Rattus norvegicus: one gene and its partners. The protein of the gene in region 2 purifies or fractionates together with the protein of the main gene of each other region. This does not show direct contact. Links are inferred from orthologs where the notes say so. Each region holds a gene or a part of one and is shown on either strand. Other genes may lie near its edges.

Region 1 (3,161 bases), on a different chromosome or scaffold from region 2:
AAAGTAATCCCACCCCAAACCTGACTCAGGCACCTCAGCTCTAGCCACCCGCTAAAGTAATTTAAATGTTTTCACAATTAAGCACTGATTGGTAGTGGCCTTCTCAGTGGGCGGTAGTCTTAGTTACCATGTGAGGATGAGGCAGTTGACTCACACGGAACTTACCTAAGCCAAAACTTGCTCTACTTGGCAGTTTACAAAGCAGGCAAACAGGAAGCCTTTTCCTCATTGGTAAGAAATTCACCCTCACCCATGTGCTTCAATCCCAGCACTGTAAGGCAGCAAGCAGACCCAAAAGGCCAGTTTGGCCTATATAACCGCAGGACAGCAAGGGCTACAGAACCCAAGGTAATTAGCACCCACATTTGGGTTATGACTAACACCCAGTTGAAGTCTTTGAACCCATTACTACTTTTTCAAAACTGGGAGCAAGTGACACTTGTGTCTTGTGCTAAAGCCCACTACCAAATTTCAGTAGTGTGGGTCATTTGGTATTTCAGGAAGCAACATGGCAAATTCAGGAAAGAACTAGTGCAGGGGCAGCTGAACCACACTAGTAACTGCAGGAGAGGGAAGGGAAGAAACAAGAAGCCCAAACAGGCAGTTTCCAAGTAATTTTATTCAGAATTTTGTGTTTGTTTCCTGAATCAATAAATACTATACAAAACAATGTAAAAATGGCTACCATTTTCTCTCCCCTGCTCCCCTCACCTGGGGACAAGTCCCTGGACAACCTCATTCAGGGGGTTCTCCCTGTAGATTTGGTCCAGCAAATGAGGCCAGCCATGTTTTAGCCCCTTGACTCACTTTTGGAGATTTGGCTGGGGTAGGAAAGCCTTTAGGAATGAGGTGATTAGGTTAGGGAAATGCATTAGTGTTTGGGGGGGAAGGAGACGGCGCCTGGGGCAGAGCCTACCCCAAAGAAAAGGGTGTCTAAAATGTTCACGGTTCCTTCTTTTTGCCTCAAAAAGTGACATTTATTCAAAGAGAGAGAGAGAGAGAAAAAAAAAACAAAACAAAAAAACAAAAACAAGATGTCCATCCCTTGGCTCCCTTCCCTCCCCCCTCCAGCTGTTCCTCAGCCCTGCCCCCAGGACTGAACCCTGGGCTAGGGCCAGGTAGCAGGACAGCCCCTCAAATGAGGTCAGCAACGTTGAGGGGCATCTCTTCAATGGAGGTGTTGTAGAAAGTCTCAATGTCTCGAAGAGTCCTCTTGTCTTCTTCTGTCACCATGTTAATAGCCACACCTTTCCGGCCAAACCGACCACCTCGACCAATTCTGGGGGGGGGGGGGGGAGGTTAGTTTAAAAAGGCGTTAGGTTGGGGAAAGGAACGTGTTTTTTTTTTTTTAAGCACAGGGAGTGTTTGATCTGTCAGACCAGGTAAATACCTGTGGATGTAGTTTTCCCTGTTGGTGGGAAGGTCATAATTGATGACTAGGGAGACCTGCTGCACATCAATGCCTCTGGCCTAGGTCAAGAAAGAATAAAGCCATCAGAGGACACTATCAACCCTAATTTAGTAAGCATATATGTAGGCTGCCAAAGGAGGGCAAAGGAAACAAGTATTCCTTGTTCCCCAGAGACCTTGGACATGCCTGGCTTTCTTCCAAGTTGCTACGTTCCTAAAAAGGGCACATAGTCAGCCCTTTGGAGAGGGAATCACCTTGGGCTATTTTCTCCCTTTCTTTCCTTAAAAGAGCATCTACTCACCAACAGGTCAGTGGTAATTAATACTCTGCTAGAGCCAGACCGGAACTCCCTCATGATCACGTCTCGTTCCTTTTGGTCCATATCTCCATGCTGGAAAACAAGGTTAGGAGCAGCTAGCATAAGGCTCCTAACACACAAAGACACATCTATCATTAACAAGACTGAGAAAACTCACCATGGCAGAAACTGTGAAATCCCGGGCATGCATCTTCTCAGTGAGCCAGTCCACCTTCCTTCTGGTATTAATAAAGATTACTGCCTGGGTGATGGTCAGTGTTTCATACAAGTCACACAATGTGTCGAGCTTCCACTCCTGGAGATCAGGAAACATCAATCAGGAGCTATACCCAACACTTATTACCAGGCCCGCCTCCTGCACTGGGCCCCACCTCTCGTTCCACATTGATGTAGAATTGGCGGATACCCTCCAGGGTCAACTCTTCCTTCTTGACAAGAATCCGAATAGGGTCTCTCATGAACTTCTTAGTCACCTCAAGGACATCAGAAGGCATTGTGGCAGACAGCAAAACTACCTAGTGGGAAAAATGCCCCAGCCATGATTGAGTGCACTGTACAATCAAATCACAACCGAGCCACCGTCCCTCCAACACCATCTGTTTTACCTGTGTGTTGCTGTTGAGCTTTTGGAATATATCATAGATCTGATCCTTGAACCCACGGCTTAGCATTTCATCTGCTTCATCCAGGACGAACATCTTGATGTATTTGGGTGCTAGATGGCAGGAAAAAAAAAACCCCAACATATAGTAATCAGACAAATGTGAAATATATTGAGGTCTCTTGATAAGGCAGGCAGAAGGCAGACAGTCTGCTCTCAGAATGCAAGGACTGATCCTTTGCCCTCGGCTTCCCTGATAGGTCATGCAAAAGCCCTGGTAAGTAGAACACTACCTGGGCTAAGGTTAACAGGGAAGCCAGGCTCAGATGACACGCATGGGGTTCATCACAGAGCAACTCAATTCCAACTAAAGGAAAACTCATCCAAGGAAATGAAATGTAGAAAAGAGCCCAACAACTGTTCCATGGCACTCACACAGGTATCTCCGGTTAAGCATATCGAACACCCGGCCAGGGGTGCCCACGATGATATGGGGAGCTTCCATTTGCAGCTTCTGCACCTCAGCACGCACGTTGGTGCCCCCAATACAGGCATGACAAGAGGCACCCATGTAGTCTCCCAGTGCCATAACCACCTTTTGAATCTAAATGTAGAAAGGCATCTACATTAACTTGGGCAGTACCAGTGAGTTAAGTCTTTCTTATTACAGACAGGAATTATCCCACTCTTAGCAACTGAGAAACAGGAATCCACTTAATCCTCTTCCAACACCACCAATACCGCCACCAAATGGCAATGCTGGATCCGTCCACACAGGTTCACAGTAAGTTTCCCACTCTACATGCAGCCTCATAAAAACCAGGCCAGCT
Region 2 (3,651 bases):
GAAATTCTGTTTGTCACACAGGATGGGGAAGGATTTAAAGGGAAATGGTTTGAAGACAAAAGAAAGAATTCTGAAAAGAAAGGTCAGTTAGTATGACTGCACTTAAGTACCCTAGTCAGCCTTCGATGTGTTGGGTACCGCTCTGCTGACCTCTAAGCTGTGTATTTGTCTGTGTGGTTAGTTCAGCGCCTGTTTGCCACAGACTGTAAGGTCACACATGGCACAGGGCATGAGTGTCCCTCTCTGTCATTAGCATTTAATATATTCTTTGGCATTGTGGTCTTTCATTATGTCCTCTCGAGTCACTGAGTCACTTGTTATATGCTTAGAGTATCTTAAGAGCATTTATGACTGCTCATTGTTAGAAACGCTTCAAAATTATAAAGCATGAAATGGGGAGTTTTACATTATATTGATTTGTTGTGTTTTATCTTTTTATAGATGACTCAAGTCTGTAACCTGCAAGGTGTAAAAATATGGGATTGACAGCTTATAGAGCCAAGAGATACCTTTTATGTAGCGTTCCCTGAGACAGATAACTAATATAAGTACTCATGAGTTTCTTAAGAGCAGGGGATGGGAATAGCTGAGAGTTAGAGGAAACATGGTGACGTCCAGGAACCTGGAATAGACTGCCTTTGAGAGTGTAGCCAGAGTGTGGGTCTGTCTTGTAAGAAGACTTGCAAATCTTCAGAGTTTTTGCATCATTCTCTTAGTGGTCTGACACAGAGTCCATGATCTCATGCTTTTCTGTCCTGGTGACTAGCTATCTGTGAGACCCCGTCCCCTTCCCTTACATTTAGCAGGTACCACGTCATGTTACTCCTCTCTTAATTTACTAAAAAATATTTATTAACTTAATTTATGTATATGAGTACACTGTCACTATCTTCAAACATACCAGAACAGGATATTTGATACCATTATAGATGGTTGTGAGCCACCATGTGGTTCCTGGGAATTGAACTCAGGATCTCTGGAAGAGCAACCAGTGCTCTTAACTGCTAAGCCCCATCTTAATTTTTTTTTAATCATTCCTTTTCCCCTCTCCTGATTGATTGTATTAGTCCCAATCTATACCATTTTTTATTATTTCTGTTTACTTAAAGTAATAGTCTTTGTGTTTATTTTCTCATTTAAAATTCTACTGTTGCCAGAATAATTGTTATAGGTGCCATGTCTACATGGAAACATTTCCTACTTTGTTTTTATAGACTGGATCTGACTAGTTATTAGTCATACTTTTATTGCATGTTCTCAATACTCTTCTTAAGGATGGGGACATTTTGTCCTGACTCACAGTAGTGGCACAGTGTGGTCATTTGGGTATTTGCTCAGTGCTTGCAAGAGAATGGAGGGAATGTGTAGTGACACAGAGGTTCATACAGAATTAGTATAGGTAGGCATGCCCGTCTGAAAGTTAACTTCGGCTGCAGTGTGGAAGGTGTATTTGTTGGGAGAAGAAATTATGGCTAATTCTGGAAATTCTCTGTGTAATTACACAGATCGCAATGCTATGTTGAAGATGGAGAGGTTCTAAATTCTTTAGAAGAACTTCATGTGTATGAAAGATACTTTTATATTTTCACATCATTTTTCTATTCTAGTTACTCTAATTTCATTGCAGCCTTGATTAATGATAGTTCGTTTATTTTCTTTTTAGCAGACATTTTACCAAACCTACATCATTCCTCATCAGATGTGTCTTGTGTCTCTGATACAAATAGTGTGTATGAAAGAATTCGACTTGAGAAACTTCCTTTTGCCCATAGAGCTGTTAGTGTCAGCACAGATCCAAGTGGGTGCAACTTTGCAATCCTACAGTCAGACCCTAAAACAAGGTATAATTGTCTTTAATATATTATGTTTTTAGAAGGAATAATCATTAGACCATTTTTTTTTGTTCTTTTCAGTAGCTCCTGATGCATATTTAATTGAGGAGCTGTTATCAAGATCTGTAGAGACCGTCAGCAAATGGATATGGTACAAGAGCAATCAGTGGGGAGAGTGTGTCTTCCCCTTAGTTTATACCTGATTTTGAAAACATTGAAGACAAATGTGTATGCCCACATAGGATCTGTCTTTAGTCCATGCTATACTTGAGGTCTCAGGTTTTAAAGAATGTACTATAAATACTTCTGAGGTAGTGTGTAAAAGTTTCTGACTTTTGAATATGATAATTGACAAGAAAGAGGTCATGTGTATGGTCATGTGTTCTAAGTATACTAGGAGAAAGAGAAGAGCAGCACCAGTGGCATTGTTGAAGAGGGAGGAAGACCTGGATGTTGGGTGACCATCCATCCATTGTGGTTTGCCCAGGTCCCCAATTTAGCACTGAATGTGTCATAAGCTGGGAAACCTCCCAGTCTGAGGCAGAGTAAGGGCATTAATCACTTCCCTTGATAGTGATAGGGAGGGCATACAGCACTCAGGGTTGTAGACTGATCATATATATATATATTCACTTGCATGAGTAACTATGCCTTTTAGTTTTATTTGCTTAGTTTCTGTTATTTTCTCTCACATAAGTTATGTGAGAAAGGAAAAACCTGGGAACTTTTCTTGTTTTTATTGTTTTCAGTTGTTTAACCTTATGCAGACATGAGTAGAAAGATTGATAGAATATTTAACATTTTGGGGTTGATATTCTTGTATTATACCAAATGCCAGAATTGAATGTTTCTAAGTTCAATTTAAGTCAACCATTTCTTTTCAAGAGAATCAGTTTGGGATCCATTTTCTTGTTTTCATCATAGTAGTAATTATCTTTGCTTCATTTCTAGCCTTTATGAAATTCCAGTTGTGTCTTCATCCTCCTTTTTTGAAGAATTTGGCAAGCTCCTGAGGGAGACAGATGAAATGGACAGCTTCCATGACGTGACCTTTCAAGTTGGCAATAGACTCTTCCCTGCACATAAATACGTTCTGGCAGTGCGCTCTGACTTCTTCCAGAAGTTGTTCCTTTCAGATGGCACTCTTTTAGAACTGACAGATGTTTACCGGAAAGACGAAGATGCTGCAGGGTGCCATCTCTTTGTGGTGGAGAAAGTTCATCCTGACTTATTCGAATACCTCTTACAGTTCATGTATACAGATACCTGTGACTTCTTAACGCATGGCTTCAAACCAAGAATGATCATGAACAAAAAGTCAGAAGACTCTAAGGGCTCCCCAGAGTCTCGTCTGCATGCTGTGAATTGCCATGTGGATGATAAGCAGAAGTCAGCATTTGAGGTGTACAGAAGCAACCAGGCTCACACACTTAGTGAAAGGCAGAAGAGCAAACCCAAGTCTTCTAAGAAGGGAAAGGGTGTTGGGGAAGATGATCCTGTAAAGATGTTGCAAAATGTCGCAAAGAAGTTTGGCCTCAGTAATTTGAGTAGCAGGTACAGTTCCTCATCCTGTGCTCCCCAGCTTGCCTCTTTCAGACCTCCTTTGAAGCATGGTTGCTTGTGTTTCCTTTCACTCTCCTGTCTCCAGCTTCCCTTTGCCTCTGGGGTAGCAGTACATGGCTGCGCACCTTTCCCTCACTGCTGTTTTCTGGCAGTTATCACTCAGAGACTCCTTATTTAGATGAAAGAACAGAAAGGTGGCTGCTGGGCTCCAGTGCTGTGCGGGGAGTCTGTAGTGGAAGAGTGGCAGGTCCTGTTG
Region 3 (3,548 bases), on a different chromosome or scaffold from region 2:
AAAGGCAAGAATGCCATCTGAAGAAACATGTGGGAATGAGGTCTGCTCTCAGGGAAACAGCGCGTGTGTAAGCTTGAGCTTCCTTTTGTGTAGCACCGGGTGCTCAGGTGGAGGCTGAATGGCAGATGTGTGCACCTCGTTCTAAGCTTCACAGCTCTAACGAGGTAAGCACCTCACCCCCCCACTTTTTGGATGAGAGCGCTAAGACCCAGAGAAGGAACTTTTATCCAAAACCACAGAGCAGTAACTTGGGAGTAGGAGAACCAGGATCAAAACCCTGAACCGCCAAGGCTGAGTTCATGATCCCACTACACTAAAACATACGCATGCCACAGATGGGACAACTGGCTGAGTCCCAACCCAGCTTAAAGCAGGCGGCAAGAAGCCATCCAGGTTACTACTGCTAGAACTTTCATCGAGACCAGATCCGTCATCCACTGCCAGTCTCTCTGTATCCTTCCTGCTTCCAGCCTAGGAGCTCCTGGGATAAAGCCAAGCCCCACTCACACGCAGGCCAAACAAAGCGGCACAACCTTTATTTCCCTTCCCTAGTCAGAAAAGGCAAGTCAGACATACTATAGAGGCAGAGTAAGCTCTCCTCACGCAGTCTTTAACTCAGCACTGACCGGACCCACACCAGTGCTTTTTTTTTTTTTTTTTTTTTTTTGGTTCTTTTTTTCGGAGCTGGGGACCGAACCCAGGGCCTTGCGCTCACACCAGTGCTTTTAACAGTTCCACCCCTCATTCCAGAGAGGAGGGGAAGTTCTTCTGTGGACTCTGCTGGCATGGTGAGCAATCACAAGCACTTCTTAGAGAAGGCACAGATACTCAGGTCTAGAGTACAGTCAGGTCCAGCAGATCGTCAGGACCGGGTGTCCCGAGCCCTCCTTCGGGGTCTGGGACCACAGCTGGAACTAGGTATGGAGCCCAGGCCAGGAGGTGCACCTGGGGGTTGGTAGCCACATTCACTGGGGTCCAAGGGGTCCCGACTAAGCAGTACCCACACTGCAGGCACATGGCGTCGGACTGTGAGGGGGTCCAGGCCCGTGTCCGGTGAAGTTGGGACCCAGCTGTCCTCAGTTTGCAGGAAGCGAAGCTTGGTGAGCTGGTGTAGGCCCGGAACCCGCCGTTTGACAATCTCTGCACAGCTGACGGCCTTTCCAGCGGCCCGGCCGGAGCCTGAGAACACCACGTGCCTTGTGCTTCCTCCTTCCAAACGAGCCAGTGCCAGCCCTAGTAGGTTTCGGATTTTGCTCCCATCTCGGACCCGCATTTCCAGCGTGTCGGGAGGTAGCTGGGGCATTGGTGATGAGGCTGGGAGCTCTACAGAGCCAGCCCTCCGGTAGTGCTCCATTCTGCTTTCGAGCCTTTGGTGACTCTCTGGATATACACTGCGGGAAAGAGTCAGATGAGTGGCAGGAACATGATCACATGGACCATCCTCCATCACTCCCTCCAGAATGTGGTCCTGTTCCTCACCACGGAGAGTGCTTTTACACCCTCACCCCAGCACTTCAAGGCTGGGGCCGAGAATTATCTACCCCTTTCTAAATACATCCACGAGTCTCTAACATTGACAAAAACAAATTCCCAAAAACTAGGCTCTCTGGGGTAGGGTTGTGCTTCATCATCTCAAGCTCTCCGGGGCTAGGTCCCAGACCCCAGGCCCACAACTCTCTAAGAACAGGCAGGTTCTCCTCACTGGGCTTCAAGGACCCTGGGGCACAGCCATGAACCCTCACAAAGTACTCCCCAAAGAAAGGATCGGTCTCACCTACGGTGTGTGGGGGGCAGAGAAGACCTCACTCCCAGATTAACTGAGTAGGCTAGCTTGAACCGGGCCACTCGGGAACTCGCGGGTGAGGACTCCCCGGAGAGCTGCTCGGGCCACTCGTGAGCGGTTGGCGGACTCCCCGATCGTGGGCCGCTGTCCCAGGCAGCAGGTATCCCCCTTTCCCTAACTCTGAGTCCCCACTCCCTGGGATTTGGCTCTTACCACCGTTGCCAGAAGACGCTCAACCCTCACCGGGTAGCCAAGATGGCGTGCAGACCGAGAGCGCGCGGAGCCGCGGGGCCGCGCACGCAGGGGGCGGGACCTGAGGGAAACCCGGGTTGCTGTTCGACTCAGAGGAGCTGATGCTGTCACCTGGGCGGCCTCGAGCGTCAGCGCAGTGGTCCGCGGTACACACCGGCACCTGCAGAAGGCCCACCTGAGAGAGCAACAGCTATCGGAGGAGTCCTGAAGAATGCAGATTTGTGCCTTTAAAGGATGGATGGCACAGCAGCGAAGGCGACGTCCGTGGTGGGTACAAGCAGGCAAGACCCTTAGTTACGGAGTTCTGAGCTTTGTTCTCATCCTGGGACACTGATCAACCCCGGCGGTTTTCAGTAAGGTCTAAGCCATAGCTTGTGCATAACTCATTGGCCACGGAGGATTGGTTTATAAGCATGGCGGATCCGGTAGTGGGGGCAACAGATACTGGTGACCCTGGGAAGGGGCTGTACTCAACATCATCATAGCGCTTCGGCCACGGGGGCGTGCGCACAGAGCCTAGTCCAGTATCCAGGGTAAAAATAGGCCCTCCGATATTTGTCCAATGAGGTGTTAACCACCGAAACAGCAAGAATTGAGAAGAGGTGGTAGAAACTTGATAGAAACTTGTATGAAGTTTTGGGGACGCGCGGGTGACTATTCGGGTAGAATAGTTTAGGATGACTGCCAGTTTCAGATCCGTTTGGATACGCTGCATTTTGGATGCCAGCAACTCTACAGGTTGGGCTGAAGCAACTCTACAGGCAGTTGAAGGAGCTAAGGCACTCCCTCAGACCACAAGAGGGCAGCATACACCGGGTGGAGCGCGGTACTGTTTCTCCCTGTTTTCTCATCAATGTACCCTGATTTTCCTCCTCTCAAGATCCTAAAATTTCTTACATCTTGGGCTCCTCCTCTGGCTACTGGTATTATGTAGACACAAGGCAGTGCAGCCTTGGCTCTGAACGTCCATTCCTGCTCCTCCAGGACCACCTGACATGCAGGCCTACCTGGTCTTCCCCAAACCCTGTGTAGAGATTAGCTGTCCCTGCCTATGCCCTCCTTACTTACCATAGGATGTGATATTTAGAGGGTAGTTGGCAAATATAAGATAAATAAATATACAATGCCCCGCTGTATAGTCAAATGATGAGAGAACTCTATCTCTCAGCAAACCAGATCAGGGGTATAGCTCCTGGTCCCATCCCATGGGGTTGGCAGCTCTCCTCTTCACCACCCAGATCCTCACAGCCAAGCCCATCCTGTATCAGCAAGCCAACACATTGCTTTAGTGGTCTCTATGGTTTATTGTCACTGAAATAAATACATTTGACAGGGAGTACAAATCATGACCCTAAGGTAAAGCTGACCTCTGACCTCAGAGCCCCCAGTTGAACACAGACAGGTAGTATTTGAATTCAGAGGCAAAGCTGTCTCTGCCTTATAAAGACAGGTTGGTGGAAGGCCCTGGAGCCTGCCTACCTCCCCTGGTGGGGACATGGGGAGCAGCTGTCAT

What was found.
Region 1: the proteins of Ibtk (region 2) and Eif4a1 purify together in Homo sapiens (co-immunoprecipitation; 4 studies listed by BioGRID and IntAct, counting the BioPlex papers as one, with this or other methods). This does not show direct contact. The link is inferred for Rattus norvegicus from reciprocal best matches to the Homo sapiens genes IBTK and EIF4A1.
Region 3: the proteins of Ibtk (region 2) and Rpp25l purify together in Homo sapiens (co-immunoprecipitation; 3 studies listed by BioGRID and IntAct, with this or other methods). This does not show direct contact. The link is inferred for Rattus norvegicus from reciprocal best matches to the Homo sapiens genes IBTK and RPP25L.

What each region holds. Positions count from the first base shown.
Region 1 is NC_086028.1:54,882,494-54,885,654, forward strand, and holds the end of Eif4a1 (eukaryotic initiation factor 4A-I), read right to left. Parts: intron 2,936-3,161; coding exon 2,767-2,935; intron 2,686-2,766; exon of another isoform or gene 2,544-2,685; intron 2,446-2,543; coding exon 2,336-2,445; intron 2,246-2,335; coding exon 2,102-2,245; intron 2,026-2,101; coding exon 1,888-2,025; intron 1,803-1,887; coding exon 1,713-1,802; intron 1,673-1,712; exon of another isoform or gene 1,530-1,672; intron 1,471-1,529; coding exon 1,391-1,470; intron 1,280-1,390; coding exon 1,135-1,279; 3' UTR 600-1,134; downstream 1-599. UniProt on the Homo sapiens protein: ATP-dependent RNA helicase which is a subunit of the eIF4F complex involved in cap recognition and is required for mRNA binding to ribosome.
Region 2 is NC_086026.1:95,547,179-95,550,829, reverse strand, and holds part of Ibtk (inhibitor of Bruton tyrosine kinase), read left to right. Parts: coding exon 1-82; intron 83-1,663; coding exon 1,664-1,841; intron 1,842-2,783; coding exon 2,784-3,386; intron 3,387-3,651. UniProt on the Homo sapiens protein: Acts as an inhibitor of BTK tyrosine kinase activity, thereby playing a role in B-cell development. Down-regulates BTK kinase activity, leading to interference with BTK-mediated calcium mobilization and NF-kappa-B-driven transcription.
Region 3 is NC_086023.1:61,673,778-61,677,325, forward strand, and holds Rpp25l (ribonuclease P protein subunit p25-like protein), read right to left. Parts: upstream 2,045-3,548; 5' UTR 1,997-2,044; exon of another isoform or gene 1,775-1,996; intron 1,392-1,774; 5' UTR 1,355-1,391; coding exon 863-1,354; 3' UTR 644-862; downstream 1-643. Other genes in the region: Dctn3 (dynactin subunit 3), read right to left, coding at 3,545-3,548. UniProt on the Homo sapiens protein: May be a component of ribonuclease P or MRP.